7 linked regions of the Xenopus tropicalis genome follow. The protein of the gene in region 7 interacts with the protein of the main gene of each other region in a biochemical or structural test. Links are inferred from orthologs where the notes say so. Each region holds a gene or a part of one and is shown on either strand. Other genes may lie near its edges.

Region 1 (3,500 bases), on a different chromosome or scaffold from region 7:
GACTCATTTAATAAAGGAAAATATGAAAAATGAAGGTCTTTCTTAATAAAAACAAATTCTACAGATTGAGATTTTGAGATATTCAGCTATTCAAATGTTCTTGTGTCCTCTTAGCACTTCAACAAACCCATTCAAAACCAATGGTTCACTTGCTATCATTCCAAATAGCTGAGAATTCTTTAAAAATTTAATGTTTATAGGAACTTTGTGCAATTTGAGAACAATGTTTTTGTTTGAGAAAGTTAAAGCAACAGATGATACATACCCAAGAATAAAAAAATCAAGAAACATTCAGACAGAAAAATAAAAAATATTTTTTAAAATTATGATAAATCCACCCTTTCTTATCACACAGCAGTTGATTGGGAAGATAGGGCCTGAGGTTCAACATTGAATTTGCTGGCTATTTGACTATTATCTCACTAGAAACAATTGTGTAGCTTTCTAAAGACAAATGCCAAATCTTCTTGAATTAGCCCATACAGGCAATGACCCAAAGGAAAATATAGCATACCTTGCCATCACAACCTATTGGCTTCTTGCATTCCTCACATGAGTTAGAGTATAGGCTCTCATAGCACTTCACACAGTAGGGATTCTCCTCCCTCAGCAGGTACTTTTTGCCAAAGAGAGACTCCTTGCAGTAGTGGCAGTCAAAGCGCTCAGTCATTTTAAGTCCACAATTCTTTTAACCTTTTTGAGAATAAAAAAATGGTTAATGTCATGTTTGAAATTAGTTTTTTTTTTATATTGCACTAGCAACATACAACATATTTACATTTTTGCACAGTGGTAAGTTAGAAGCACATACCTTTACCTACTAGGTTTTCAAACATAAAAAAAATTGTAAATTGTATTTGCAACAGGCAGGAAAGTTTTTATTGGTGGACAGGTAATAAATTCTGGGATACAGTTCAACCAGTGAATGCACAATAGGCTATGCACACCTGGCAATCTTAAAGGAAAAGGGTGGGCAAAGGGAAAACTGCAGCCCAAGATATAAATCCGGCACTGTGTACAGTGGTATATAGCTGGTATATAGAAAGCTCTAAAATAAAGAATTGCCATGTCCAATGATGTCCTGTTTTAACTGATTTGTTCTTTTCCCCTGGAATAAATCTTGATGCTAACTTAGCTAGGAAGAATCCATGTTGATAGCTTAACAATCCTGTTGGGTTTTTTTCAAGTATAAATACTTTAATAGTCTTAAGGCATGGTACTCAACGTCACAAAAAAGACATCCTATCTGGAAATTCCAAAGTCCAAAACCAGGAATTACCTTGTAGATAGGGGGACCAGATCACTTGAAAAGTCAGGGGCACGTCTAAAAAATTGCAGTTTAATTCAAATGCAATCAATGCTGCCCTGCAACAAGTCCCTGAATTTTTAAGTGATCTGATCACCCTATTGTAGATTCCACAGAGGTGCTGAAACAGGCCTCAACACTGTTTTGCTCTGTTAAGTGCAGGCACAGCCTCTATTGTATTTCTCTTTAAGATATGAGTACAGTGTTTCTGTTGCAAAATCATCTGAAATCACCTTGGCAAGCAAGCTAAATGGGATTTTCCCATGTCTTTATTGAAATAAAAAAAACTGATACAGCTGAGAGCAAGAAACAAACTTCTTTGTCATCACTGGGGAATAAAAAAACTCTGCTACATACCACAAATGTAAGTTTTGCTTAGGCAATTTCTCAATTAGTTCCAAACGATGCCATGCAGTCTGCTATCCAACGCCTGTGTCAATAAACAGAGTCCATCTTGCTCGTGTATATTTTTCCTGTGCAGGCCTGTATATTTAATCAAAGTAATTTCTCTGCACATAACACAAGCCAATTGTTCCATATGCTTACACTGAACTTTTTGGTTAAGACCAGCAATCATTTGGAATGTTTTACATTTTTCTTCTGCTGCAGAAGAATATATAATCTAAATGGGAATACCTACATGTCTGCAGCTTTGGGAGGAAAAATGCTGTTGGGGGGAGTGACATCCTGCGCCTTTATGTCTTAAATATTGTCAGGGTTCATTTACTATGGATGCACAGTGCTAATATTTAGCACTAATCTGAAGCACTTAAAAACATGCTGCAACCATGCCCCCTTAGCAGTCAAGCTCTAAGTAATATTAGGCTAATGTCAGACCAGGCGTATGGCATATATTTGCGGCAAAACGCTTGCCTTAAAAATTAAAAAAAAAAGCTTTGCACTATGCTACTTGCATATCATTCTTTTTACACCTAGGGGTACATTCATCAAAGTACGAGTTCGAATCCCGAGATGGGAAAAATTCGGATTACATACGATCATTTCGGATGATCGCAAATACCAAGAAAATGCTTACGAAAAAAATTGGAATAGTCGCGATAATATCATATTGGCTGAAAGTCACAAAATTTTCGTATCGAACGGGAAAACCTTTCTGACTTTGATCCTTCTGTGCATGATTTTGGAAGCCTCCCATAGGACTCAATGGCACTCTGCAGCTCCAACCTGGCCCAAGGAAAGTCACGATACTGAAGCTTGAATGAATCCGAAACTTTCGTACTCGTCGCACAAATTTTGTTGCAAAGTACGAAAAAGTCGCGCAAATGCACGAAAAAGAAGCGCAAAGTACGAAAAAGTCACAGAAAATACGCACAGTACGACCAAATATGAATTTTATGTATTTCGTACCTGTCGTACTTTGATAAATGTGCCCCCTAGTGTGTCTAACCCATAACAGCAACTACTTTGGGCATAGTGTATGTCTATAGCTCCATTCGCACTCTGCGTACATGCAAATTATTTTGAACAGTAGTTTATGACTCACTGTGGCACCCATTATCACATTGTCAATCTCTGGCTGCAGGCATTCCACACTGTCACTGCCACTGACATTTTCTAGATGTGTCACTTAATTTCCAAGTGATCTGGCAACCCTACTGTGGGGCTAGGGTTGCCACCTGTCTGGTTTTGACCCAGACAGCCTTATTTTTGGAAGGGCTGTCCAGGTCAAAACCTCCATCCCGGGATTTCCAAATAAGGAAAACTGGACAGGACTCACTAAGATTGACATATCTCCACCCAGCGATGTTACTGCCACACCTCTTTCCCGCCCCTGCAAAGTCACAGCCCTGCCTCTTCCCCACCCCCGTGATGTCACCACCCACCCCCTACCTGGCAAAAAAAGCCGGCAGAGGTGGCTACCCTATGTGGGGCGTATTTGGAGTTCCGTGTACTTGGAATTTCAGGGCCTATTTTCAGGGCGTCCATTTACTAAGGTGCAATGAACAGCGATAATAACTTGCTTCAGAAAAAACTACTACACCACTCTTGCTGCTATACAGAAAAATAAAAACAGAGGGTGCCAGAGATTCTTGCAAATAACAAAATAACAAGTGTTTATTGATCATCCACTAGGTTTACTCACAATACAGCTTCTCTGAGGCAAGTGGTAATGGCAAAATCACATGCAGGGAGTAATACAGGGTGACACCCCGCCCCCCCAGGAGAGACTCGG
Region 2 (4,210 bases), about 12 Mb from region 7:
GGCAATACACAGACATACGACTGCATGGTGCTATGGTTGCAACATGCCAGCTAAGCCTTGCACTTACAGTCTGTATAGATATCCCTTGCACCAGCGCACGCTGCACCAAAGTAGGTGTAATGGGCAAATTGGCACACACCACTAGAATACTGGATGCAAGCTTTTTTTTGTATGCCATTTTGCCCACTTTTACGCTTGTCACTTTTTCTGGAAAAAAAATGGACATCATCTTTATTAAAGGAAAACTACATCCCCAATATAAAAGCATAACCAACAGATAGTTTATATCACATAAGTGGCCTATTAAAGAATCTTACCTTACTGAAATATATATGTATATCAGTGAATATTGCTCTTTTAGGTCTTTTCCCTTGACCCACCATTTTGTGATGGTCTGCGGTCTCACATATCACCTGACAGGAAACAATGCAGCGTTAACTGTAACAGGAAGAAGTTTGGGAGTAAAAGACAGAACTGTGCCCATTCATTGGCTGATGGGGCCTAATGTGTATGTGTGCCTTGGCTTGTTTGTGTCACTGTGAATAGCATGATCCCAGGGGCAATGCTTACAATTATATTATATAAATATATAAACATATATTTTCATGTATTTTTCAATATATAATTGATTGTTTGCAATAGATGCAGTGTTGCTGGTCTTTTTCTCAATATTTAAACTCTTTTACCGTACACCCGGGACAAGGATTGAAGCGGTGTGCCTCCCTTGGTTCGATATATATAAACATATATATTTCATCAACAATGTTCACATATTGTTTTCTTTTAATACCATTGGCATCAAATATCATTACCAGCCAGGTGCCAACAACCCCACCAACTACAGTATCTAGCAATTGGCATATTTCATAATTACTTCCTAGTCCCATACATTGTGGTTTAACTACATATCCCATCAGCCCCCATCAGACAGGCGGCTGAAATAGACGCTTGTAGTTTAGCCACAAACTACATGTTGCCCCTCTCTCTCGTACAACCCACTACCTTATTTTGCCGACGCTTGCCACACCATACATATTTATACCCATGCCTTCCCTTTTTTTCCACCACCCTCTCCATTTCCTCCTTCGCCCCCCGTCCACTTCTCTCCCCCTCCCCTCCTGTGTTTACTACACTCAGCACTCTCCAGTAACAGGCTACATGCTCAGCTCAGATTCCTCAATGGCGGGCGGCACGCCTCAAAACGCCGTCTCCTAGCTACCGGAAGCCGCCTCCAGGCAAAGCTAGCCAATCGGCTCTCAGTTCCGTGTGTCCACCTCGCACGTGTTTTCTATTCCCACCCCCTGTGCGCTGCGGGCCCCGCCCATGCACGGCAGTGATTGGTAGAGAGCGGCAGGGCTGAACTGCTGGGGTTTGAAACCGCATAGGAAGCCACGCCCAGAGAGTGGAAACAACTCATCCCGCACGTAGAGAGAGAGAGGTATTAGCGGCAGCGGCGGGGGCAGGGACTGGGCAATATAAATATACACACATATTCCTGTGCCTCACTCTCATACTCGCACGGAGTGCTCACACCGCCGGCCGGGGCTATACTATAGGTGTGTGGGATAGGGGGGGTGAAGCTGCTGCTGCTTATGTACAGCCCAGTCACTGCTGCCTGTTTATACCCCCATAGGGACAAGACTGAGCCCTTCCAGTTACTAGGGGGCAGAGTATTTCCACTGTATGCGAGCATATAGGCACCTCATAGAGTGGAGCTGCTCACCCTGCATCTGGGCACTGTGGCCCCTCATTGCTGGGCTGCCAGCTTGGCTGTAGGTGCCTTTTATTTCACTTTGCTCTCTTTTTCTCAGTTTTGCTGTGCAAGTCCCTGTTGGAGGTCCTGAGTCCCCTATGCCACCAGGATCTCCCCCAGTAGTGTTCTCGGACATGCCCCTCATGCACAGCCCAGCTCTGGACCTGGAGAAGCTGGCGCTGGAGCGGGTCGTGCCTCGCTTGCTCGCCTCTGGATACTGCTATTTGGACAACTTCCTAGGGGAGGAGATAGGGAACCGTGTGCTGGAGAAAGTCAGGCGATTGTACCAGGACGGGGCGCTGAAGGATGGGCAGCTGGCCGGGCACCTGCAAGGAGTCTCCAAGAAACACCTGAGAGGTGACAAGATTGCTTGGGTCGCCGGGACAGAAGAAGGATGCGAGGCCATCGGACTGGTTTTGTCAGTTATTGACCGACTGGTGATGCTCTGTGGCAACCGACTTGGCCAATACTATGTGAAAGAAAGGTCCAAGGTGAGGCTCTCTGCATCTTTTCCTGTGTTTGGTCTTAGGCTTCCCCCCTTTATAAGCTGGGGACTAACAGTGAAGCCTAAGGCCAGCATACCGACTGAGCAGGTAGTAGTGTAGATTATTTCACATTGCAACATTTTAGAAATCCCACATTTCAAGGCTCCTGCCCCTGAATTTATCAGAGGTAGCAGATCTCAATAAAAGGGCGCACAAAGCCTCCTGCTCCGTCTGTTGCTGGAATGCTCTTAAGGTAGGGGTATGACCTACCTGAGATACTCAGACATGCAGAGAAGCCATGCATGGACCTGTTTCAATCCCCCAACAAGAGGATCTACTGGTAGAATTTACATTGTGATCAGTTGGCTGTATCCCCCCCTCCGCCAACAGACTGTGCTCCAAATGGAACCCAATCCTACTGGCTGTGTTAAGCTGTTTTTTTAACCTTTAGTTACACAAAACATATGGCTTTGTATGCCTCCACCCTGCACCTTCAGCATATGCCACGTATTAGCTTGCTTGCATGTCCTAAAAACTGAAATTTCCATTTTAATAAAAAAAAAAAAAAAAAAATACAATAAACCACAGGCCCCTATTCTCTTCTCATCCCTTGCCAAGTCTTATTCGTTCCATTTGTTCCATGTACCCTTATATAAGAGTCGGTGACATGTGGAATTCCATCACAGCTGTGGTCAGGTATGGGCACGGAAATAGAGAAACATCCTATTGACCCCATTCAACCAATTTATTTTATGATTTCTTGATATGCAACTTGGCCCTTTAATTTAGCATTTGCTGTAGGGTCCTAGAGAAATGTGTGACAGCAGGCCTTAGAGCCCTGTTTACCAGGACTGGGGTGGGGTTAGGGGCGTGCCCAACTACCTTATGGTCTGCACGTACATCTTGCATTAACCCCTCCAGTGCCACAGCTCTCTGGTGTTGGCAGTCACTTACAAGTCAAAGCCAGCTATGGATATTTATCCCTGTGAACGTTTTGTCACTGATGGGGGTTAAACATAGTTTTTGCACAAGCAACTCCTGAATGACAACATTTTAGGGAACACTGATACCCTTTATTTAGGTCTGCATTTGTTATTGAGCCGCCCACATGAATTCAGTAAAAGTCGCAATTGTGACAATACTAATGCATTGCATGTGCTGCCATGTACTGGTATTTATGTCAATTCACTGCTGTATATCTATTTACTGAGAAATGTTAATCCGTGCCTATTCACTTCTCAGGCCATGGTAGCATGTTATCCTGGCAACGGTGCTGGATATGTGCGCCATGTGGACAATCCAACGGGAGACGGACGTTGTATCACCTGCATTTATTACCTGAACAAAGACTGGGATGCAAAGGTAAGACGTTCCTCTAAATTCTTTTAGACCTCGTATACCCTGGTGATGAGCTGTGACTGTTGCAGTTGGTCATGGCGCTCATATCTTTAGTGTGTAGTGTGGCTCTCACAAGGAATACACAAATGAGTGGTTACACAGTGGTTGACATGTGGTGTATTGTGTTAGTACTGACCACCAGGCAGATGGCCTCTCAGTTTACAGTGTGGTGCAGCCACAGATCAACCATAGGAATGTATAACAGATTTACTGATATTGGCTGTGACAGAACACTAACAATCTGCTGGAACATTGCAGTCGCCGCTATATGTACTGAAACGTGCTGTGTCAGCTGCAGGTCTGTATGTGGCCTACAGATATTCATAGCTGGCACAAACTGGTTTCCTCATTGGCATTTTTTCTTTATGTTCAGTAGCTGCAGATTAGGTCACACGCATATAATCATCTGTGTAATCCAGGCTTTATGGATATTATTTTGCCCCCTTTGCTACCTAAAGCATCCATAGATTACTGCTACTATCAAACGGGAATTAGCCTTACCGTAGCTGAACTACACATTGCAAACTGTCTGCACTAAGTGTTTTCATTTATCTGCCAACCTGTTCTTTGGTGT
Region 3 (4,110 bases), about 30 Mb from region 7:
ACCCCCAGAATGAATACTTAACCAACAGATAGTTTATATAATTTTAAGTGACCTAGTAATCTCACCAAAATGGAATATATATATATATCAGTAAATATTGCCCAGCTCTAACCGTAACAGGAAGTAGTGTGGGAGTTAAAGACAGAACCCTGTCTATTCATTGGCTGATGGGGCCTAGCATGTATGTGTGCCTTGGCTTGTTTGTGTGCACTGTGAATCCTATGATCCCAGGGGGTGGCCCTTAATTCTTAAAATGGCAATTTTCTATTTATGATTACGCAATAGCACAAACTACTAAAAATGTCTATTTTTATGAAAATGGTTTATTTAGATGAAGCAGGGTTTTACGTATGAGCTTGCTTATGCAATATATTTTTGTAGAGACCTACATTGTTGGGGGCTATAGTTCTCCTTTAATGGTGGTTTCAATCCCAGTTTACAGTTTGGTTCAATCAAAAATAGTGAGAACTTTGCCATAGGCTGCGTGTGGCTTAAAGAGCAGAATTTTTTTTTTTTTATAAGGAAATTGTTCAGTGCAGGAGATACTGCAGTGTCCCTGCCCTAGTTCAGGTGGGGGAGTAAGGAGCAGGGCGCAAGGTGTGGACTATAATGCCAAAAGGTACCCCTACAAACAGAGATAACTCTATAAAGGAGATTCCCCAGTGGTGAAAGAGACCCAGTGGGGCACTGACTAATATAATACATGTAAAGCATGTTTTGAAGCACTTTTAATGTTTCTAATGTTTTATTTCCTGTTTATGACAAAAAAAAACTACTTATGCCTGCCGCCCAGTATCCTCATGATAGTTACGTTTTAAACAACAATATATCCAAGATGTGCGTGTTCCACACTTACGGCAGCTAACATTCCACAACCAATATGGCGCCAGCACACAGTCATATAAGCATGGGAACCCTCTCACGTGTGCTACAATCAGAACGCAAACTAGCCTGCGTACGGTCAGCCTATCCCCGCGATTTCTCTATTTGACAGGGAAAGTAGTCACCAGTTGATTTAATAGCCAATTCTGTTCTAGCGCTTATACCTATGCTTGGAATTCACGTTGTCATTCATATTTTCTTTTTTTGTCTTGTTTTAAAAGATTTTAAAGTAGCGCGATTTTTTAGCCTAAGTTGCACTGTACGACATTCTGCAACTCGCTGCCATGTTGAAACTCGTTTCTGGTGATGTAAACAAGTAATGCATCCGGGTAAAGGCGTCCTGACGCAAGGCGGCGCAGCGCGCTTACGTCAGGACGCCGCTTTGTATAAAAGGCGAGGCGAGGCCTAGTTCAGCCTCTCTTCGGTCGCTTTAGGCCCGGTGTCTACCATCTGTCTCCATCCTTTGCCGGTGGAGCGGTTTCGGACTCATCGCAGCCATGACTGAGCAAATGACACTTCGGGGGACCCTAAAGGGCCATAATGGCTGGGTCACGCAAATCGCGACTACCCCACAATTCCCGGACATGATTCTCAGCTCTTCCAGAGGTGAGATGCATGAGACGCCTACTGTAGCCTATCGATCCACGCAAGTTTATATGCATTGCGGTATCCGGGACCCCGTTTATCGTTAGAACAAGAGCATGAATGCTTACACGTTGCTTTTTTCAGCCCTGGTAAATGTGATTGCTGTAACTACTTAGTGTCGCTGTGTGATATGTTACTGTATCGGGGCTAAAATGGCTCCTCATTCATTATGCGTCATTGGAAGTCCTAACTATAATGAAGCTTTTCTTTATCTGTCGTTTTGATTAGCAAGGGAAAGATGGTGGTAGATTTTGCGGGCTAACTTACCTTTTAATTATGGTGTGAGCGATATATGATGTATAGTGGCAGCTATTGTTTGCTAGAACTTTGTTCCTTAGCCCTTGGTACTGAAGAATTTGCAGGCTGACAATGCCATAGAGTTGTATGAGCAGTGGTGGAAGTGTTTTTTCTTTGCACATCTCATGTCTTCATTTTTCTTGCATACTAGATAACCTCATTCTTCTGGCAGTTTGGGTTGTGCAAAGGAAAAACATCTTCACCTGCTTACAGACATAAAATGAGACACCGTAGACCAATGACAAGGTATGGCATGGCTTCGCTGTGATGGCATGGTTTATTTTGGGAGGGTTACCCCTGTGTGGAACTGCCTTGTTGGAGGTTTACTGCATAGAAGTTGAGGTTACCACTTATTTAAATCAGCAATAGTGTTCTTATGTCCTTTGACTTTTTTTTTTTTTTTTTTTTCCTCTCTGCACAGATAAGACTGTCATCATGTGGAAGCTGACTCGTGATGAAACAAACTATGGGGTTCCACAACGTGCTCTCCGGGGTCACTCCCACTTTGTCAGTGATGTGGTTATCTCTTCAGATGGGCAGTTCGCTCTCTCAGGATCCTGGGATGGAACACTCAGACTGTGGGATCTTACAACGTGAGTACACTTATCCTTGTTCCATTACCTGGCCTGTTAAATGGCTGCTTTTCAGAATGTTCAGCAAAAGTTACTGATCAGCAGCAGGGAATTAGACATGGTTTCAGTACTACAGAATTTGACTTATTACTTGGATAGAAGGAATGACTGGACTAACTTTAGCATTAAGAATCATTTGAGTCCACTTACTGTCAGACCAGAATATCCCTGCAGGGGAAGCATATGACAAAGGACCAGTTAAATAGTAACCTAGGTAGAGGGAAGCTATGAATCTGTCCCTCCCCCTGCAGGGTGGCACAGAAAGGAGTGTTCTGAGGGGAATGGATACTGTCATTTTGTCATCGTGTCAAATATCCCTCTGCAGTGGCACCACCACACGCCGGTTTGTAGGACACACCAAAGATGTCCTGAGTGTCGCTTTCTCTGCTGACAACCGGCAAATTGTGTCTGGATCCCGTGACAAAACAATCAAGCTGTGGAACACTTTAGGCGTTTGTAAATACACTGTGCAGGTATGTATGAGCGTTATAACTATATTTTAGTTCTGTTGGTCCACGTGATTAGAACAATTGTATTCTGAGTGTCTAATATAGGCACACTAATTTCAGGATGACACTCCTGCAATTATGAAGGGACCAAATAAACAGTCATTCTAGGTCTTTTGGCAGGCTGTTTACTAATGAAGCTGTCTTTCTTAGGAGGAATCACATACTGAATGGGTGTCCTGTGTCCGGTTCTCCCCTAACAGCAGTAATCCCATCATTGTATCCTGCGGCTGGGACAAGATGGTGAAGGTGAGTATTTTGGATGCCTCCAGTCTTAATACGGGTTCAGAGTTTTTTTTTTTTTTTTTTTTTTTTTTTTAAATGCATACTTGTTTGGTAAGTAAAGTGTTAAGCAGCTTTAAAGCGTTTTCACTCCCCCTTTAAATAGTGCACTACTGACCCCTCTTAAACAAGTACTAAGAACTAAGCCCTGAAAATAAGTGGCTAGAGATGCCCACTTTTATATACTGAATGTTCAGGTCTTCTGCAGTTGTCACGGGAACTCCCCATCTTGGATTTTATTAGTGTCGGTGACACTCGTGCTCAGTGTGCAGTTGAGATGCTAAGTCTAGGGGTTGTCGCAAATTTTCTAGCCTGTCAATAGTTCTAAGCTCGGGAAACAGAACAGAACAGAACATGTGCAGTGAATCATCAGAAAAGATGGGAAGCTACTGGGGCACATTACTTCTAAAGGGCTATGATTTCCTAGGGCTGTTACAAAAGCGCAAAACACATAATGTAAAAATAATTATGCCCTACTTCTGTAGTTAATCTTGCAGCTCTGCTTTCAGCCCCCATACATGGGCCTACCAGACACAGCATTTGAGTGATGAATGAATATTGTAGTGGCAGTACATGTGTGGCTTTTTTTTCTATTCAGTGTCGACACTGAACAAATTAGACAAATTGCAGAGTTGCTGCTTCCCTTCTGGCTGACTGGAAATTGGCCATGAGGACTGCTGATCCTTGATCTACCAGAATCATGGAATTATTTATCTTCCCCCCCCCCCCCCCCCCATCCTTTTGTATTGGCTATATAGGCACACAAAGTAGGCCCATATGGTCAAAATTGGCCAAACTACCCTACCAAGTCATGGCCAGTATCCTCTTGCACCTTTTTAAGAATACCATATGGTACAGGTTGTTTA
Region 4 (4,136 bases), on a different chromosome or scaffold from region 7:
GTCGTGCGGACGCCCGAAAAAATCGGCGAAAATACGCTCGGAGTGTTCACGCTTTTGTAAATGTGCCCCTATGTCGTTTTGCCTCAAGCAATATGGGAATTGAGCTACATGGAAGCATCAGCAAACTGTACTATAAAATGGAAGCTTAATGGTGATGGACTCAGTTACACCTTTAGGGCTCTGGCACATGGGGAGATTAGTCGCCCACGACAAAACTTCCTGTTCGCGGGCGACTAATTTCCCCGAGCTGCCTTCCCCTGCCATCCCACCGGCGAAAATGTAAGTCGCCGGTGGGATGGCACACGCGGCGGCGCGATTTAGCACAAATCGCCGAAGTTGCCTCGCGAGGCTTTTTCGCCGATTTGCAGGGGAAGGCAACTCGGGGAGATTAGTCGCCCGCGAACAGGGAGTTTTGTCGCGGGCGACTAATCTCCCCGTGTGCCAGAGCCCTTACAATCTAATAAATACAGCCAGGACTGTTTTCTCAAGAAAAGGCATTCATTTTTTATTGAGCAATATATTTCTATTAATGATAGGACTGACAATGCTTTACTGGACTGGCTGCTTAATAATTATTGATATCAATTTGGAAGAAGTGGCCCAATAAAGAAAATAAGCCTTATATATTGTGCTCGGCTTTATGTAACCTATGTCACTTTTTTTTATTGTTGTAACTCTGATATTTATTCTAAACCTGCTATTTTCTATGCACGACCCGTCCATCATTCCCTCTCTGTATTACAGATAATGCGGCCCCTTTAGTCACGTAGCCACTCAGTCGCAACTCCGACTGCTGCCATCTTGCTTCCTATTTGCACGTAGGCTGATGCCGAATAAAAACGAATACTTTAATAGCTGTGGCCAGTTATTCTAAATAATTAAAGAGCGACATTCTGCAATTCCAGCAAATGGCGCCCAAACCCTACAACGACCAGTCAAACTTTAATTTCCCTTCCCCTCCTCACACAGCTCTTCAATTGCTTGCTTTTCTCGTATGATTCGTCACTTAATGAAACGCCTTGGACTTCGTTCGATTATGATTGGCCCTTTTCAGTGTCACTCTAACCTTGGGAAGGGTTCAGACTAGAGAGCCACCACCCCCGCCACATTCTTTCATCTCCCTCCCCCATCACACACCGCCTCCGTGGCTGGGCGGGGTCACTCCACCTCTAATTGGTCAGCCTTCTCTGTCAGTCTCCAGCTAACTGCACCCACCGCGCCACCCCATTGGGCGGGTGGAGCCGCCCCTCGGCGGGAGTGGTTAGGCGGTCTGTCGATCTCCGCCCGTAGCCCCGCCTACTCACCGTCTCCGCCGCGCGGCAGCCAGGTTAGGTTGCCATCGTCAGCCGAGGTTTGTGTGAAGTACCTACGGCCCCAGAAACAACATGAGCGGTAAGCAGGAGAGTGGGCATAAGGGCGGGAGGTAACGCGGGTTCGCAAGCTTATCCCAGAGCCCCTCCTGGCTTGCTCGCACGCAGCTTGTGTGAGGGATCGCTCCCCCTGGCCACTTTGTGGGCTTTTTGCTGCGCGCCATGACTCGCTGGCGGAATGCTGAGAGCGGCCGGTACCACCGGAGGAGGAGGCGGGGGTGTAGAAATAAAGTCATATCCGCCCTCACTACTTCGTTCGTTCTCCTTCCTCGCCCCCTTTTTACTTTTCCCTATAACTGGAGAGGTGGTTGTGGCGGTAGAACCCCTCCCTGCTGTCCTCCTCTCCCGCCCTGTTTTTCTGCCCCCTTCGGTGGGTGGGGTAGAATTGTAAAATTGCCCCCCGCCCCTCCTAGCATGGTAGCCGGTACTTTTCGTGACACAGGGAAAGGGCAATACGTGACCCTAAAATGTTCCCCGGAACCCGTTGCCTTCGCCTATAATGTGAAGCCTGCGGCCCTCCTTCTGTAGCCCCCCCTGCCCAGAGCAATCCTTGCCTCACACTGGGGATATCTGCCCCTCTGGCGCCCAAACACTCCCAGTATCCGTAGCTGTGGGGTATCTGTAGTTCCCCTGAAACCATTATCCGCCCTCAGCTCGGGCAGTTTCACTGACATCGTATGGATGGGAGGGACCTTCATCCGGTAGATCCCTTCATTAACCTGCTGAACGGGGCCGCTGGGAGTTGTAGTTTGCCTCTGGAGTTGCCATTACTCGCAGGTGAAGCCTATGTAGACCATTTATATTTATTTGTAAATCATTTTACTTCTAGAACGTACTCCTCTACAGAGGGTTGTGGGAGTTGTAGTTCCACAACAGTGCTGCTAAGGCTATCTAGGCTGATAGATGGGAAACATGTTTGTGAGTCTCTTCACTTCCAGTATTGAGAGGTTTGTGAGAGTTGTAGTTCAGCAGTCTGTTTCTAAGCTGAGGGGTTTGTGTTTCTCAGGGAAGTAGGGCCGGCCATGTTGTAAGCCTGTGTGTGCATGTTTACTCACTGCCCTCACTCACACACTCTCTCTCTGTGCTTGTGCCCTTCGCTGACAGCAGATCAGGAGCACACGTCCGATGACATGCCTACGATAAAGTCCGAAAACCGGACAGGAGGTGGATACATCCAGAAGGGGCAGGTAAGCGGAACCCACCCATATTGCATTATACACAGATAGGCAGGGACCATGCCTGGGAACTATCCAGCCCTCTCGCCTTGGCTGCCTGTACACTGGATGAGCATGGGGGAGGGGGGCTGAGGCCTTTTTTTTTTTCCTCCTTTCTCTTTGAGAATGGCTGCTGTCCTCCCACCCTTTGGCTGGCAAACCTCCCACCCCCTGTTCCTGACTGCCCACTTGGGGCAGGCCCCAGAAACCCTTCCCCCCAGCCCTGTCCCTCCTGTTCTCTCTCTGGCTGTCTCCTTGACATGCTGGTTTGTTTACATGCTGGCACTCTTTGTGCTGTTGCTAATACTGCAAATGGCACCTAGGACATAGCCGTAGAAGGGTTAAATTGACATTCACGTTCAGTCTTGCATCTTATTGGCAGCTACATTTTTAATTAAATTCAGCAACTGCATCTGCTGCTTCGGCTGGTGGGGGCCGAGTGTAAATGGCAGTTAGGGTTAAATCTGCTCAGATTTGTAGCAAAGGCTGGAAAGGCAATGCTCCACTAAATTTCACTGAGTGTTATTTTTGCTATTGTGCAACAATAAAATATCACTTACAGCACACACCCAGTTTATTCCATTGTGGGTAGTACTGTCTTTGTACCAACACCCACCTAGGCATGGTTATCTCTGCAGCTTGTGCTGTCTTAGGCCATCGCAGGAGGTGGCGCCCCCAACTGATGATGTTGGATATCTTCCCAACGCTGAACCATGTATATGTAATAGAGTGCTACAGCTATAGAATCCCTTATCCAGAAAGCTCTAAATTGCTTGCAGACCATCATAGAACTAAGTTTAAAGGGCACCTATCACCATTTAGTTTCTTCCCGCCACCAGAGGTGTAGGCTTTAGAGCCCGCATTCTGGAAAACAATAGGTTTTTTTTTTTAAACAGCCCCCACGGGCGGCCATGTTATTTAGCGTGCATGTGCATAATGAGCAAGACTCCTCACTCATTGTGCGCAAATGTGTGACGTAGGAGCAGCACACACACACACACATATATATATATATTATATGTGTGTGTGTTTCCCCCAACCAGAGTGCGGGCTCTATTAGCCTGCACCAGGATGTGGGGAAAGCAATTCGATGTGATATTATGCTAATAATACTAATTTATAAAAATGATTTCCCTTTTCTCTGTAATAAAACAGTAGCTTGTAATCGATAGTATCTTAGCTGCATAAATCTGGGGCAAAACAATTCTTTTGTGTTTTGTATAGTGATGCAAATTACTCAAATCCCTTAAACCTAGGTCCATGCATTCAGGGTAATAGGTCCCATTCAAAGCTGTTTGTTTTTTTTTTTTTTGACAACAAATTTTCTTCCATTATTGACTTTCCATTATATTTATTATTTTAATGTAAAATAAGTAATACTGTGTGTTTTTCCTGGGAATGCACACTAACATGCCTGGGCAATGACCCACCTGCACCATTACCTCTCTCACTAACATTGGGGTAAGCTAAGGCTAATGCCACACGTAGCATATGGTGCATTGGCCTGCCTTCTCCTGTAAGGTGGTCACTCTTTCTACCATCTTTCTGTGTG
Region 5 (3,500 bases), about 80 Mb from region 7:
CTGCAGACAAAGAAAAATAAGGACTTGGCAGGGAGTGAAAACGTTGCCCAAGGAGCCAAAGTCACAGGTGGCAGACGTACCCTGTTTTAGCTGTACTTGCCCGCTGCTCTTTGTCAACGCCACTTTGGAGTTATCAATGGGACCGGGAGGATCTAGGGAAAAAATACAGTGGTGCATTTACTTGGTTGGAACCAAAATAATTATTACAAGAAGGAAAAAAAAAAAAAGGCATAGGAAACCCAGAATCATTCATCACTGTAAAACCAACTGGCATCCCCTAATGAATAGGGGTTTCCTTGTCCTTGAAATGGACCACAGAAATGTCCCCTGATGTTCATGGACTACAACTCTCAGCAGGCTCTTGATTATCTGTTAAAGAATGCTGGGGATTTTAGCCAGTACCATCTGGGCACCCAAGGAAATGAACTAGGGCTCTAGTGGCTAATATAAATGGCTGCAAGAGTTACTCACATGCCTTCTATCAATGCTGCTGCCCTGCTTCTGTTCTGACCTAATCTGGGCTCTCAAACAGGAAGGCAGGACAGCCATGTGAATAGCTGGATATGAAATTCATTGGCTGGTGTAGGAAAACATGGCTCCCTTTATTTAAAGGGGTCATGTAAACCCCACTCCTGAGCCACAGTGAAATGTAAAAAGCAACGCAAGCATCATAAAAGTTCATGGAGGTGCCAAATAAGGGTTAAGATTGGCTATTAGGCAGGCTCTATGCACACTATTAGCTTACAGGGGGCTTTATTTGGTACATGTTGCCTCCAAGCCACTGGTTGGGGGATCACTGGTTTAGGGGTATAAATATTAGCTAGAAACAGTGAAAACAGTGAAAAGCAACAGCTCCACCTACTGGGCAGTACAGGTAATATGCATGCCCATATTTCTCTTTCCTACAGGTGTTGTACTGTACTGTCTCAGGGGTGTAGGGAGTTCCATACTAAGAATTCCTATGTACCCAGTAACAGGTCAGTCCTAGATCAGCCAGTATTTTAAGGAAGAAGGCTCTCATCCTTGGAAAGGCAGAATAGGAGGAAGCAACGTGAACTTACCACTGTCCTTGGCTTTAACAAAGGCTTCCCACTCCCGAAACCACTGCATGCTAATACAGTATATTACACTGGGGGCCTCTTCTGCTTGGAATGCCTTATTGAGCTGCAGGAGGAGCAAATGAAAGACGGTGTATGGAATTCTTCATATTTTTTGCTTATGCTAACTGCTAATTTAAACTGCATCTGGTATGTTCCAGAAGGAACAGCCCCCTAAATTTGCTCATAGCCTGTACAAAGAGATACCATAAAACTATGGCAGCATTGGGATTAGGCAGGATTGCTATGGAGTCACTATGGGATATTAATCCTATTTACTGTGCAAGTGAATTTCCTTTTGGTCTTAACTGACCTTAATGAAAGTGTCAATTTCTGTCTTTCTGCGTTTCGCCAAAGCCTCAATCTCCACCTGGCAGATTGAGCAGACATATAAGTGATTCACTGCGGGTCCTCCTCCAAACCTGAAGGGGTTAAAACATCGGAACAAATATAAGTGAATAGATAGGATGCACAGCATGGAAACATTGTCGGTCAAATTAAGATATTTAGTAAATATGGCAATAATGTACAATTCCAATAAGCTATGCCGATGCCAGATCCAACTGAGCAGATAGAGCACTGAGAGATATTTACCTGTTGTATAAATATTCCCATACACTCTGCGGGAGAATCACCACTAGATCATCAATATAATGATATTTGTTGGGGGGAATTCCTGCAAAACATAAAGACACCATGAGGTTTAATGAGTTCAGACCTTGGAACGTGGCCTCTTGGAACTGGGGGAAGCAATGGGGTTCCTAGGTGTGACTGCTATGTCCCTATTTGATTTGCCAAACAATCTCATTATTACCAATAGTGGGCACTTCTACACTTTTAGGAGATGGGAAATGTAACTGTAATGTTCCCCCAACCCACCATGCTCTGTGAAATCAACAACAGAGGGGCTGATCATTCTGGAGATGTGCACTCAGTGGCATTAGTTGGTTGCCCAGCAGGGTAAATAAAAGGCAAGAGAATTGTTTATGCTCCTGTATTACATTAGTGCCCTGCACAGCAATGGTGAAGGATGGGCAAAGAAATTAAGAATGGCATGACAGAGAGGGTAACAGAATGGCATTTGGGCATATAAGGGGTAGGAATGAGTGCATGGGGCGTGTTTTCTGCCAATAAAGTAGCACCCAAATCTGGTCATGCTGTCTGTCATTGGCAATAATATATCACAGCCAATGGCGGGCAGATTCAGGGGATCCCTTCTGCAAGGGATATTACTCCATGCCAGTATAAAACCACTGAAAGACCTGTGTATATTTACCTCCATGTGAACAGAGGAAACTTTGGTTGTTAATTGGTCCAGGTTCTGCGAATGTGTTGAACTTGTTAAGCCACTCACGGGAGATGTAGAACTGCAACAGGCCGGACTCTTTCATGGCTGCCAAGGACACCACCTTCTGCCGCTCCCGCTCTGCCTCCTCGCTGCTCTTCCTGGCGCCCCAAACAAGGGCAGAGAGTTACAAGCAAGCAAATGAATGAGGATAATGGGGATCTATGGATTACCCAACCTGCCTGTGGGGACCCAGTAACTCTTTCCTTACCTGTAGAAGAGAACATAGGCCTCTGCATTCTGAACCACCGTCTCATGGACCTCCGTGACGTACTGATCATCAAACTCATACCACTGTCCGTTGATCACATTCTGGCAGTAAGATATATAGTGCCCACCTATACAGTGCAAGGGCAGTGGGGGTGAATTAGTGTAGGTGGCTACAGTACTATACAATAAGTTACAGCTCCATAATGTACCCTTCACTGGCCTTAGCCATACTTACTGCTAGCGCTGCCATGGTGGCAGATAACAGCCAAGAGGTCGTAAGTGGTGATGCGAGAAACACATTCTTTAGCCAGGAAGGGCCTCAGATTAAGCCCCTCCAGAGGGAATGAGACGTGGCTGCCTATTTTGAAGGAGTACATGACTTCATGCCGGAAACGTTTCAGGTGAATGCACAGAATCTGCCAGGCAATGGGAGGGTAAGGGGGAATTAACATGGGAACACAAGGTGCCATAACATTAACAGATCCCATATTATTCTTGAGCAAAGGAAATATACGGGAGGCTGTGCCATGGTTCAGCAGACCACGGGGAAAGCCAAGGCATAGGGCGCTAATTTTTGTCATTATAGAAAATACATGGAAGCAGCACCACATACCATGCTACTATTTGGAGGGTAATATGGCTACTTAGAGGGGTAAATATGGGCACTGACCCCCACTTTCTTTTCAGCATCAAACCACTTTCTACACTGAGGTCTTAAACCAGCTACTCTCTACCTGTTGTTTGGCTACATCTCCCTGCATGATTTATACGGGCTGCGCTGGGTACTGGGAGTCCAATAATTGCCTTAGAGCTATGGGATTCCAATGAAACAGTAAAACCTTTGCATT
Region 6 (4,070 bases), on a different chromosome or scaffold from region 7:
ATATCCAGCTGGGGGCTGGGTCAGTGACACCCGGGGGGGTTCTATTTACTTGTACTGCTGTCAGTTCAAGTATGTTCCCTGGCACCGAATGCCAATCTGTCACGAGTTCCAACCTGTGGGGCACTGCTTGCAACTTGCTCAGTCCCCTTCCACTCACCAACAAAGACGTTCTTCAACCCACCCCCCCGAGAAATCCAAATACCACTGCCCTATACTGTCTGTCAGTCTATCTCTCTCAATATATCTATCGTCATCTATTAATCTTTCTATCAATCTATCTGTAAATCAATCTCTACCTATCTCACTATATCAATCTCTCTCTCTCTCTATATATCTATCTCACTATTTCTTTCTCTCTCTCTACATATGTATATATATATGTCTCACTATATATATCTATCTCTCTGCCTGTCTATCTATCAATCATCTATTATCTACCTCTCTATTATCTATCTGTCAGTCTATCTATCAATCATCTATCTACCATCTCTCTATTATCTATCTATGTATCTGCCTATATATCTTTCTGTTATCTATCTGACTGCCCAGCTGCAGGTGTATATAACACGGGGAGGCTAATGTGCCAGTGTGTGTGCCAGCCTGACTGCCCAGCTGCAGGTGTATATAACACGGGGAGGCTAATGTGCCAGTGTGTGTGCCAGTCAGCCTGACTGCCCAGCTGCAGGTGTATATAACACGGGGAGGCTAATGTGCCAGTGTGTGTGCCAGTCAGCCTGACTGCCCAGCTGCAGGTGTATATAACACAGGGAGGCTAATGTGCCAGTGTGTGTGCCAGTCAGCCTGACTGCCCAGCTGCAGGTGTATATAACACGGGGAGGCTAATGTGCCAGTGTGTGTGCCAGCCTGACTGCCCAGCTGCAGGTGTATATAACACGGGGAGGCTAATGTGCCAGTGTGTGTGCCAGCCTGACTGCCCAGCTGCAGGTGTATATAACACGGGGAGGCTAATGTGCCAGTGTGTGTGCCAGTCAGCCTGGCTGCCCAGCTGCAGGTGTATATAACACGGGGAGGCTAATGTGCCAGTGTGTGTGCCAGTCAGCCTGGCTGCCCAGCTGCAGGTGTATATAACACGGGGAGGCTAATGTGCCAGTGTGTGTGTGTGCCAGCCTGGCTGCCCAGCTGCAGGTGTATATAACACGGGGAGGCTAATGTGCCAGTGTGTGTGCCAGTCAGCCTGACTGCCCAGCTGCAGGTGTATATAACACGGGGAGGCTAATGTGCCAGTGTGTGTGCCAGCCTGGCTGCCCAGCTGCAGGTGTATATAACACGGGGAGGCTAATGTGCCAGTGTGTGTGCCAGTCAGCCTGGCTGCCCAGCTGAGGATGTGAGTGTATAGCAGGCGCTACGGTGGATGCGGTGGAAGCGTGTGTGGCTGACGTGATAAGTTTCCCATTGTCTCCTTCCGCCAGGAAGGCTTTTTCGTGAGGAAGGCAAATCAGGAAGTCCCCCTTTCCCGTGCTCTGTCACAGTGAAATATGAATTGGACACGGCTGAAACGCACAGCTCCCTGCAAGCCTTTCTGCTGCTTCCAATCTGCTGGTGAAACATTAACTGCGGCTGTCTGTCCCACATGGCTCTCTCCCCATCAAGCCCCACAAACCTGAGGCTCGCCTAATTCCCATGCAATGCCCCTGGGCTCCTGCTGGGGTGCAGCTACCTTGCATTGTGGGGGCGCCGAGTGAACTTGCGGGCGTCTGAGCCAAACTGGAGTTCTACCGGCCGGGCACCATCCTCTTTGCTTCACTTTGGATTATTGGACAGTTGCCATTTAATGCCATGGAAAATGCAAGTCCCCTATATTTGAAGATTTGGATATGGGTGTGACTGGTAGGTAATTATTCCTGTTTGTTAAATGCACATCAGTGGGAATTGGATCTGATGGGTCAGTACCGGGACGATTGTTATGTCCCTGCAAGATCACCTTACAGCTGAGCCAGTTGCATGTAGGGACGCAGTACAGAGGGACAGTATATAGCATGCACTAATGTGGCTACCGAAGGGCAGGATTTGGCTAACAATAAGCACAGGGAGTAGTGTTCCATAACTTGGCACATACCTGCTGCACCTGCACCACTGCTAGCCCATATATCCTTCCCTAGGCTCAGGAACTGACACACACGCAGCTACTTACTGCTGCCTGCCCCCCAACTGCCAGCCCATATAACCTTCCCTAGGCTCAGGAACTGACACACACGCAGCTACTTACTGCTGCCTGCCCCCCAACTGCTAGCCCATATACCCTTCCCTAGGCTCAGGAACTCACACACACGCAGCTACTTACTGCTGCCTGCCCCCCAACTGCCAGCCCATATACCCTTCCCTAGGCTCAGAAACTCACACAAACGGCACTACTGACAGCTGCCTGCCCCCAACTGCCAGCCCATATACTCTTCCCTAGGCTCAGAAACTCACACAAACGGCACTACTGACAGCTGCCTGCCCCCAACTACTGGCCCCCTGCCCCAACTACTAGCCCCCTGCCCAAACTACTAGCCTCCTGCCCAAACTACTAGCCCCCTGCCCAAACTACTAGCCTCCTGCCCCAACTACTAGCCCCCTGCCTCAACTACTAGATGGGTATCAGGGGAGAGATACTCAGTACCGTTATACAGAGAAAGAGATGGGTATAAGGGGAGAGATACTCAGTACCGTTATACAGAGAGGGGAGAGATACTCAGTACCGTTATACAGAGAGGGGAGAGATACTCAGTACCTTTATACAGAGAGGGGAGAGATACTCAGTACCGTTATACAGAGAGGGGAGAAACTCAGTACCGTTATACAGAGAGGGGAGATACTCAGTACCGTTATACAGAGAGGGGAGATACTCAGTACCGTTATACAGAGAGGGGAGAGATACTCAGTACCGTTATACAGAGAGAGGAGAGATACTCAGTACCGTTATACAGAGAGGGGAGAGATACTCAGTACCGTTATATAGAGACAGAGATGGGTATAAGGGGAGAGATACTCAGTACCGTTATACAGAGACAGAGATGGGTATAAGGGGAGAGATACTCAGTACCGTTATACAGAGGGGGGAGAGATACTCAGTACCGTTATACAGAGAGGGGAGAGATACTCAGCACCGTTATACAGAGAGGGGAGAGATACTCAGTACCGTTATACAGAGAGGGGAGATACTCAGTACCGTTATACAGAGAGGGGAGAGATACTCAGGACTGTTATACAGAGAGGGGAGAGATACTCAGTACCGTTATACAGAGACAGAGATGGGTATCAGGGGAGAGATACTCAGTACCGTTATACAGAGGGGGGAGAGATACTCAGTACCGTTATACAGAGAGGGGAGAGATACTCAGTACCGTTATACAGAGAGGGGAGAGATACTCAGTACCGTTATACAGAGAGGGGAGGGATACTCAGTACCGTTATACAGAGAGGGGAGAGATACTCAGGACTGTTATACAGAAAGGGGAGAGATACTCATTACCGTTATACAGAGAGGGGAGAGATACTCAGGACTGTTATACAGAGAGGGGAGAGATACTCAGTACTGTTATACAGAGAGGGGAGAGATACTCAGTACTGTTATACAGAGAGGGGAGAGATACTCAGTACCATTATACAGAGAGGGGAGAGATACTCAGTACTGTTATACAGAGAGGGGAGAGATACTCAGTACCGTTATACAGAGACAGAGATGGGTATCAGGGGAGAGATACTCAGTACCGTTATACAGAGAGGGGAGAGATACTCAGGACTGTTATACAGAGAGGGGAGAGATACTCAGTACTGTTATACAGAGAGGGGAGAGATACTCAGTACTGTTATACAGAGAGGGGAGAGATACTCAGTACCATTATACAGAGAGGGGAGAGATACTCAGTACTGTTATACAGAGAGGGGAGAGATACTCAGTACCGTTATACAGAGACAGAGATGGGTATCAGGGGAGAGATACTCAGTACCGTTATACAGAGACAGAGATGGGTATCAGGAGAGAGATACTCAGTACCGTTATACAGAGACAGAGATGGGTATCAGGGGAGAGATACTCAGTACCGTTATACAGAGACAGAGATGGG
Region 7 (3,247 bases):
AACAAATTTTTCAATATTAATAACGAACATTCGATATGCAAGTTTGTTTGATTTCGAAAAACAAACTCAAATTCACAAACTCCTAAATTGTTAAATAGGCCCATAACAGTTGCAGTACCACTTCCCTAACCACCTTTCCCCTTAGGACTCTCTTAAAATGCCAAACTGATTTGTACACACTCAGTAGTGATGTGTGGGCTGGCCTGAAATCTGCGGGTCAGCCACTTTCAGGCCAACACTCGCACAGCATATTCTGGTCGCAGGCAGGTTCAGGCTTTTTTTTTTTTTTTTTTTTTTTTTTAATAGGTGCACGTCTGCCTCCATGGCATCAGGAATGGGCTGGGCACAGTTATATAAGTAGAGGTATATTCGTGGGTGGGTGCAAATGGTCAACCCGCACACAGGTATTACAACTGAAAGCAGTGTTTGTCTTAATGTTTGCACTTTCTGCTCTCCTGGCTCTGACTCCTGAAACAATGTTGCAAGCCAGCTGATTAACCTAGAGCAGATCTGACTTTTGTTAAATCGTTTTAAGAGTCAGACTCAGGGATAAACAAAAAATGCTTTCAATAACCATTAAATTGAAAAAATAATTGAGAAAAAAAATGATTGAGAATTGTTCCATTATTTGTTTATTATACATTAAGATTGTCAAACTTACAATTCCAATAGCCTGGTAAAGAGGGCCATCGCTTTCCATTTTACGTTTTCTCTGAACATTGTGTAAAGCAACCATCTTTGGATTCAATTCTTCATCCAAAACTGTACACCTGAGAATAAACAGCATGGCATAACTCAGTGGTGCAAGCACAATACATTTCCGGAGCACAGAACACAGTACAGGTATCTGACTAGAGGAATAGGCTGGTGCACTAATACACAAACCTCCAATTCCTCAAACAACCACCCTTCTGTTTTCAGCTACCCATCCTGACATCATTTATAGGTTCTTACTAGTGAATTTATGTGGCAAATTCATTAAAACGTGAACTTTAAGTGAACATTTTGAAGTTACTGATTTATATAAAAGATTAAATACCTTTTCTTTAACTGAACAGGTAAATTTGGAGTTCCTGGACGAGACACTTCAGTTTTATCTACTGCTGATTTGGCTGGCCTTACTGGTGAACTTGTGCGGCTTCTGTTTCCATCAAATGGTGATGCTGGAGCACTATGGACAGGTGACTGAATAATGGTTTTCAGATCATTTATGGCATCCTCAGGCTTGAAATCACTGGAGGATGGTAAAAGAGACTGCTGAAATAGAGTGGCCATGCTTCCTAAGGTTTGTGGATTTGATGAATCACATTCCAAAGATGAAAGTTGGTCAAAGGTTCGCAATTGGAAGTCATCATCCATAGGAATATATGGTGCCAACATCTCCAAGTCCAAGTCTGTTTCCTGTAAGAGTTATATGCATATTAATGAGAATAATTATATCAAACAAGGTGCAGTAACAGGTTCAAATGTAAAGGAGTATATAAAGCACGGCACTCAGTTACAATAGCAATACAGTAGCAGTAGCTATACAGACATCTTACACAACTGAACTTATATAAAAATCTAAATACACTGAAAAAATCAACAAAAACAAAAAGGATACTTGGCTATTCTAAAGGCAAAGCAAACAAAAAGAAAAATAACAACATACATGAGATGGTACCTGGAAACAGGCACACTATATTGCCAGTAGTAACCAGGTACCTGCAAGGGTATTAATATGACATTGGCCCTCCCTTTCTATTAGGTCATGAAGCACTGTTGGTTCAGATTTACTTCCATTCAACTACAAGAGCATAAGTGAGACTGAACACTGAAAATGGGCATCAGGTCTGGCTAGCAGCTGGTGTCCTAATTCATTCCACTGCAGTTCTTCCACTCACATTTAGGCAGTCCAATTCTATACGGACCTTGTTTTGTGCATGGGTTTATTAGAATGCACAAACATAAAAAAAAAACCCTTTCCCAAAGGACTGCCATGAAGCTGCAAGAAAAAAAATGTAATTGTATGTAGTAGCCTTAAAGGATATAGAAACCTAGAATCGCTGGGGGTACCAACATGTTAGGCTCCCACCCCCATCTCTTAAGAAAAAAATGCAATGGCTTGGTAATAAAACTAATGCAAAACTACGCCGCCAATTTTCTTACCTTTCCCAGGCATCCCTAGCAGAGACTTACTTTGGGTTTTCTCTAGTGCGTGTGTGCGAATATAAGTCTGAAGAGGGACACCTGGAAGATGTAAGTAATGTAACCTCCAAAAGCAATGGCTACAGGCTACACAAGCATATAAATAAGCTTTTTGCATAAGCTTTTTGCATTGTACATGCATTAAAGAATAAATGCACAGTACATAAAAACAATACATTCATACAACTGTATATGCTCTTCCATACATCAGATATGCACACAAACATTTTATTGCGCCAAAAGAACACTCACCAGCAAGCACACTGTAGAAGAGCAGGAGCCCTGAGTAAGCTGTGCAGCACCGTCTGATGTCTGGAATCTTCAAGCTGCACAGTACATGAGTCCTTTCTTCTACCAGCCCTCATATGTGTATTCTGAGCGGCTCTTCAATCCACCCTGACCCTCACCTAATACATAGTTGTAAGATGCCTCACAAAAAAAAAAAATTCTTCTGTATATCCATGTCACCTTGTCTAAAACCTTTTAGCCATTTGCCCAAGGGACATGAACCCTCCCTGTATCTCCCCACTTAAAATGGCTTTCAATCTTTTTTTCACACTTTTTTGCTTGTGATGATGGTGAAAGGTTTAATCATATTTACTCTACTTATAACTGCATTTTTTAATTGACTAATGCAATGTAGAGAAAACAAGTACTTATGAATCACAAACCTGGGTAGAAAATGGTGCTTTTGCCTCTGTGTCTATTGCAAACAGTTTTTCCACCAAATCCAGCTTGAACTCGCTTGCAATTTCGCTGTCAACATCAAAGCAATATTCTGGAGGTGTACTAGGCTACAGGGAGAAAGAGACAAAATTATTTGCCTGTAAATCCACTTACGACTCAATAAAGACCTGCTTTAACAGTAAACCGGTGCATTTAAAATGCTCCGTTAGTATGATGATAAACAGAAGTAAAATTTAGGCACTTCTGCTGAAAATTATCTGCAAAAACCCAGTTGAAGCACGCATGGAAAGAGACGAAGACTAAATTATCCCTTTCTGCCCTCTGTGACTGCACAGTCCAAGGGAGATAATTTAGAAGATCACACTCCATGTAA

Evidence for each region.
Region 1: the proteins of hif1a (region 7) and fhl2 form a complex in vitro, tested with the Homo sapiens proteins (2 studies listed by BioGRID). The link is inferred for Xenopus tropicalis from reciprocal best matches to the Homo sapiens genes HIF1A and FHL2.
Region 2: the proteins of hif1a (region 7) and egln3 form a complex in vitro, tested with the Homo sapiens proteins (5 studies listed by BioGRID, with this or other methods). The link is inferred for Xenopus tropicalis from reciprocal best matches to the Homo sapiens genes HIF1A and EGLN3.
Region 3: the proteins of hif1a (region 7) and rack1 form a complex in vitro, tested with the Homo sapiens proteins (2 studies listed by BioGRID). The link is inferred for Xenopus tropicalis from reciprocal best matches to the Homo sapiens genes HIF1A and RACK1.
Region 4: the proteins of hif1a (region 7) and sp1 form a complex in vitro, tested with the Homo sapiens proteins (2 studies listed by BioGRID). The link is inferred for Xenopus tropicalis from reciprocal best matches to the Homo sapiens genes HIF1A and SP1.
Region 5: of the proteins of hif1a (region 7) and usp20, one has a biochemical effect on the other in vitro, tested with the Homo sapiens proteins (2 studies listed by BioGRID and IntAct, with this or other methods). The link is inferred for Xenopus tropicalis from reciprocal best matches to the Homo sapiens genes HIF1A and USP20.
Region 6: the proteins of hif1a (region 7) and epo form a complex in vitro, tested with the Homo sapiens proteins (2 studies listed by BioGRID). The link is inferred for Xenopus tropicalis from reciprocal best matches to the Homo sapiens genes HIF1A and EPO.

Annotation. Positions count from the first base shown.
Region 1 is NC_030678.2:111,709,604-111,713,103, forward strand, and holds part of fhl2 (four and a half LIM domains protein 2), read right to left. Parts: intron 694-3,500; 5' UTR 671-693; coding exon 515-670; intron 1-514. UniProt on the Homo sapiens protein: May function as a molecular transmitter linking various signaling pathways to transcriptional regulation. Negatively regulates the transcriptional repressor E4F1 and may function in cell growth.
Region 2 is NC_030684.2:113,846,467-113,850,676, reverse strand, and holds the start of egln3 (egl nine homolog 3), read left to right. Parts: upstream 1-1,410; 5' UTR 1,411-1,851; coding exon 1,852-2,244; intron 2,245-3,480; coding exon 3,481-3,600; intron 3,601-4,210. UniProt on the Homo sapiens protein: Prolyl hydroxylase that mediates hydroxylation of proline residues in target proteins, such as PKM, TELO2, ATF4 and HIF1A. Target proteins are preferentially recognized via a LXXLAP motif.
Region 3 is NC_030684.2:71,557,606-71,561,715, reverse strand, and holds the start of rack1 (receptor of activated protein C kinase 1), read left to right. Parts: upstream 1-1,310; 5' UTR 1,311-1,379; coding exon 1,380-1,488; exon of another isoform or gene 1,489-1,616; intron 1,617-1,975; exon of another isoform or gene 1,976-2,070; intron 2,071-2,245; coding exon 2,246-2,417; intron 2,418-2,781; coding exon 2,782-2,929; intron 2,930-3,115; coding exon 3,116-3,211; intron 3,212-4,110. UniProt on the Homo sapiens protein: Scaffolding protein involved in the recruitment, assembly and/or regulation of a variety of signaling molecules. Interacts with a wide variety of proteins and plays a role in many cellular processes.
Region 4 is NC_030678.2:146,984,287-146,988,422, reverse strand, and holds the start of sp1 (transcription factor Sp1), read left to right. Parts: upstream 1-1,336; 5' UTR 1,337-1,385; coding exon 1,386-1,392; intron 1,393-1,699; exon of another isoform or gene 1,700-2,047; coding exon of another isoform or gene 2,048-2,147; intron 2,148-2,474; coding exon of another isoform or gene 2,475-2,477; coding exon 2,478-2,557; intron 2,558-4,136. UniProt on the Homo sapiens protein: Transcription factor that can activate or repress transcription in response to physiological and pathological stimuli.
Region 5 is NC_030684.2:22,450,482-22,453,981, reverse strand, and holds part of usp20 (ubiquitin carboxyl-terminal hydrolase 20), read right to left. Parts: intron 3,069-3,500; coding exon 2,888-3,068; intron 2,781-2,887; coding exon 2,654-2,780; intron 2,544-2,653; coding exon 2,374-2,543; intron 1,774-2,373; coding exon 1,692-1,773; intron 1,520-1,691; coding exon 1,411-1,519; intron 1,165-1,410; coding exon 1,062-1,164; intron 153-1,061; coding exon 81-152; intron 1-80.
Region 6 is NC_030679.2:152,067,892-152,071,961, reverse strand, and holds the start of epo (erythropoietin), read left to right. Parts: upstream 1-1,270; 5' UTR 1,271-1,835; coding exon 1,836-1,848; intron 1,849-4,070. UniProt on the Homo sapiens protein: Hormone involved in the regulation of erythrocyte proliferation and differentiation and the maintenance of a physiological level of circulating erythrocyte mass.
Region 7 is NC_030684.2:101,960,627-101,963,873, forward strand, and holds part of hif1a (hypoxia-inducible factor 1-alpha), read right to left. Parts: intron 2,982-3,247; coding exon 2,859-2,981; intron 1,402-2,858; coding exon 1,040-1,401; intron 771-1,039; coding exon 662-770; intron 1-661.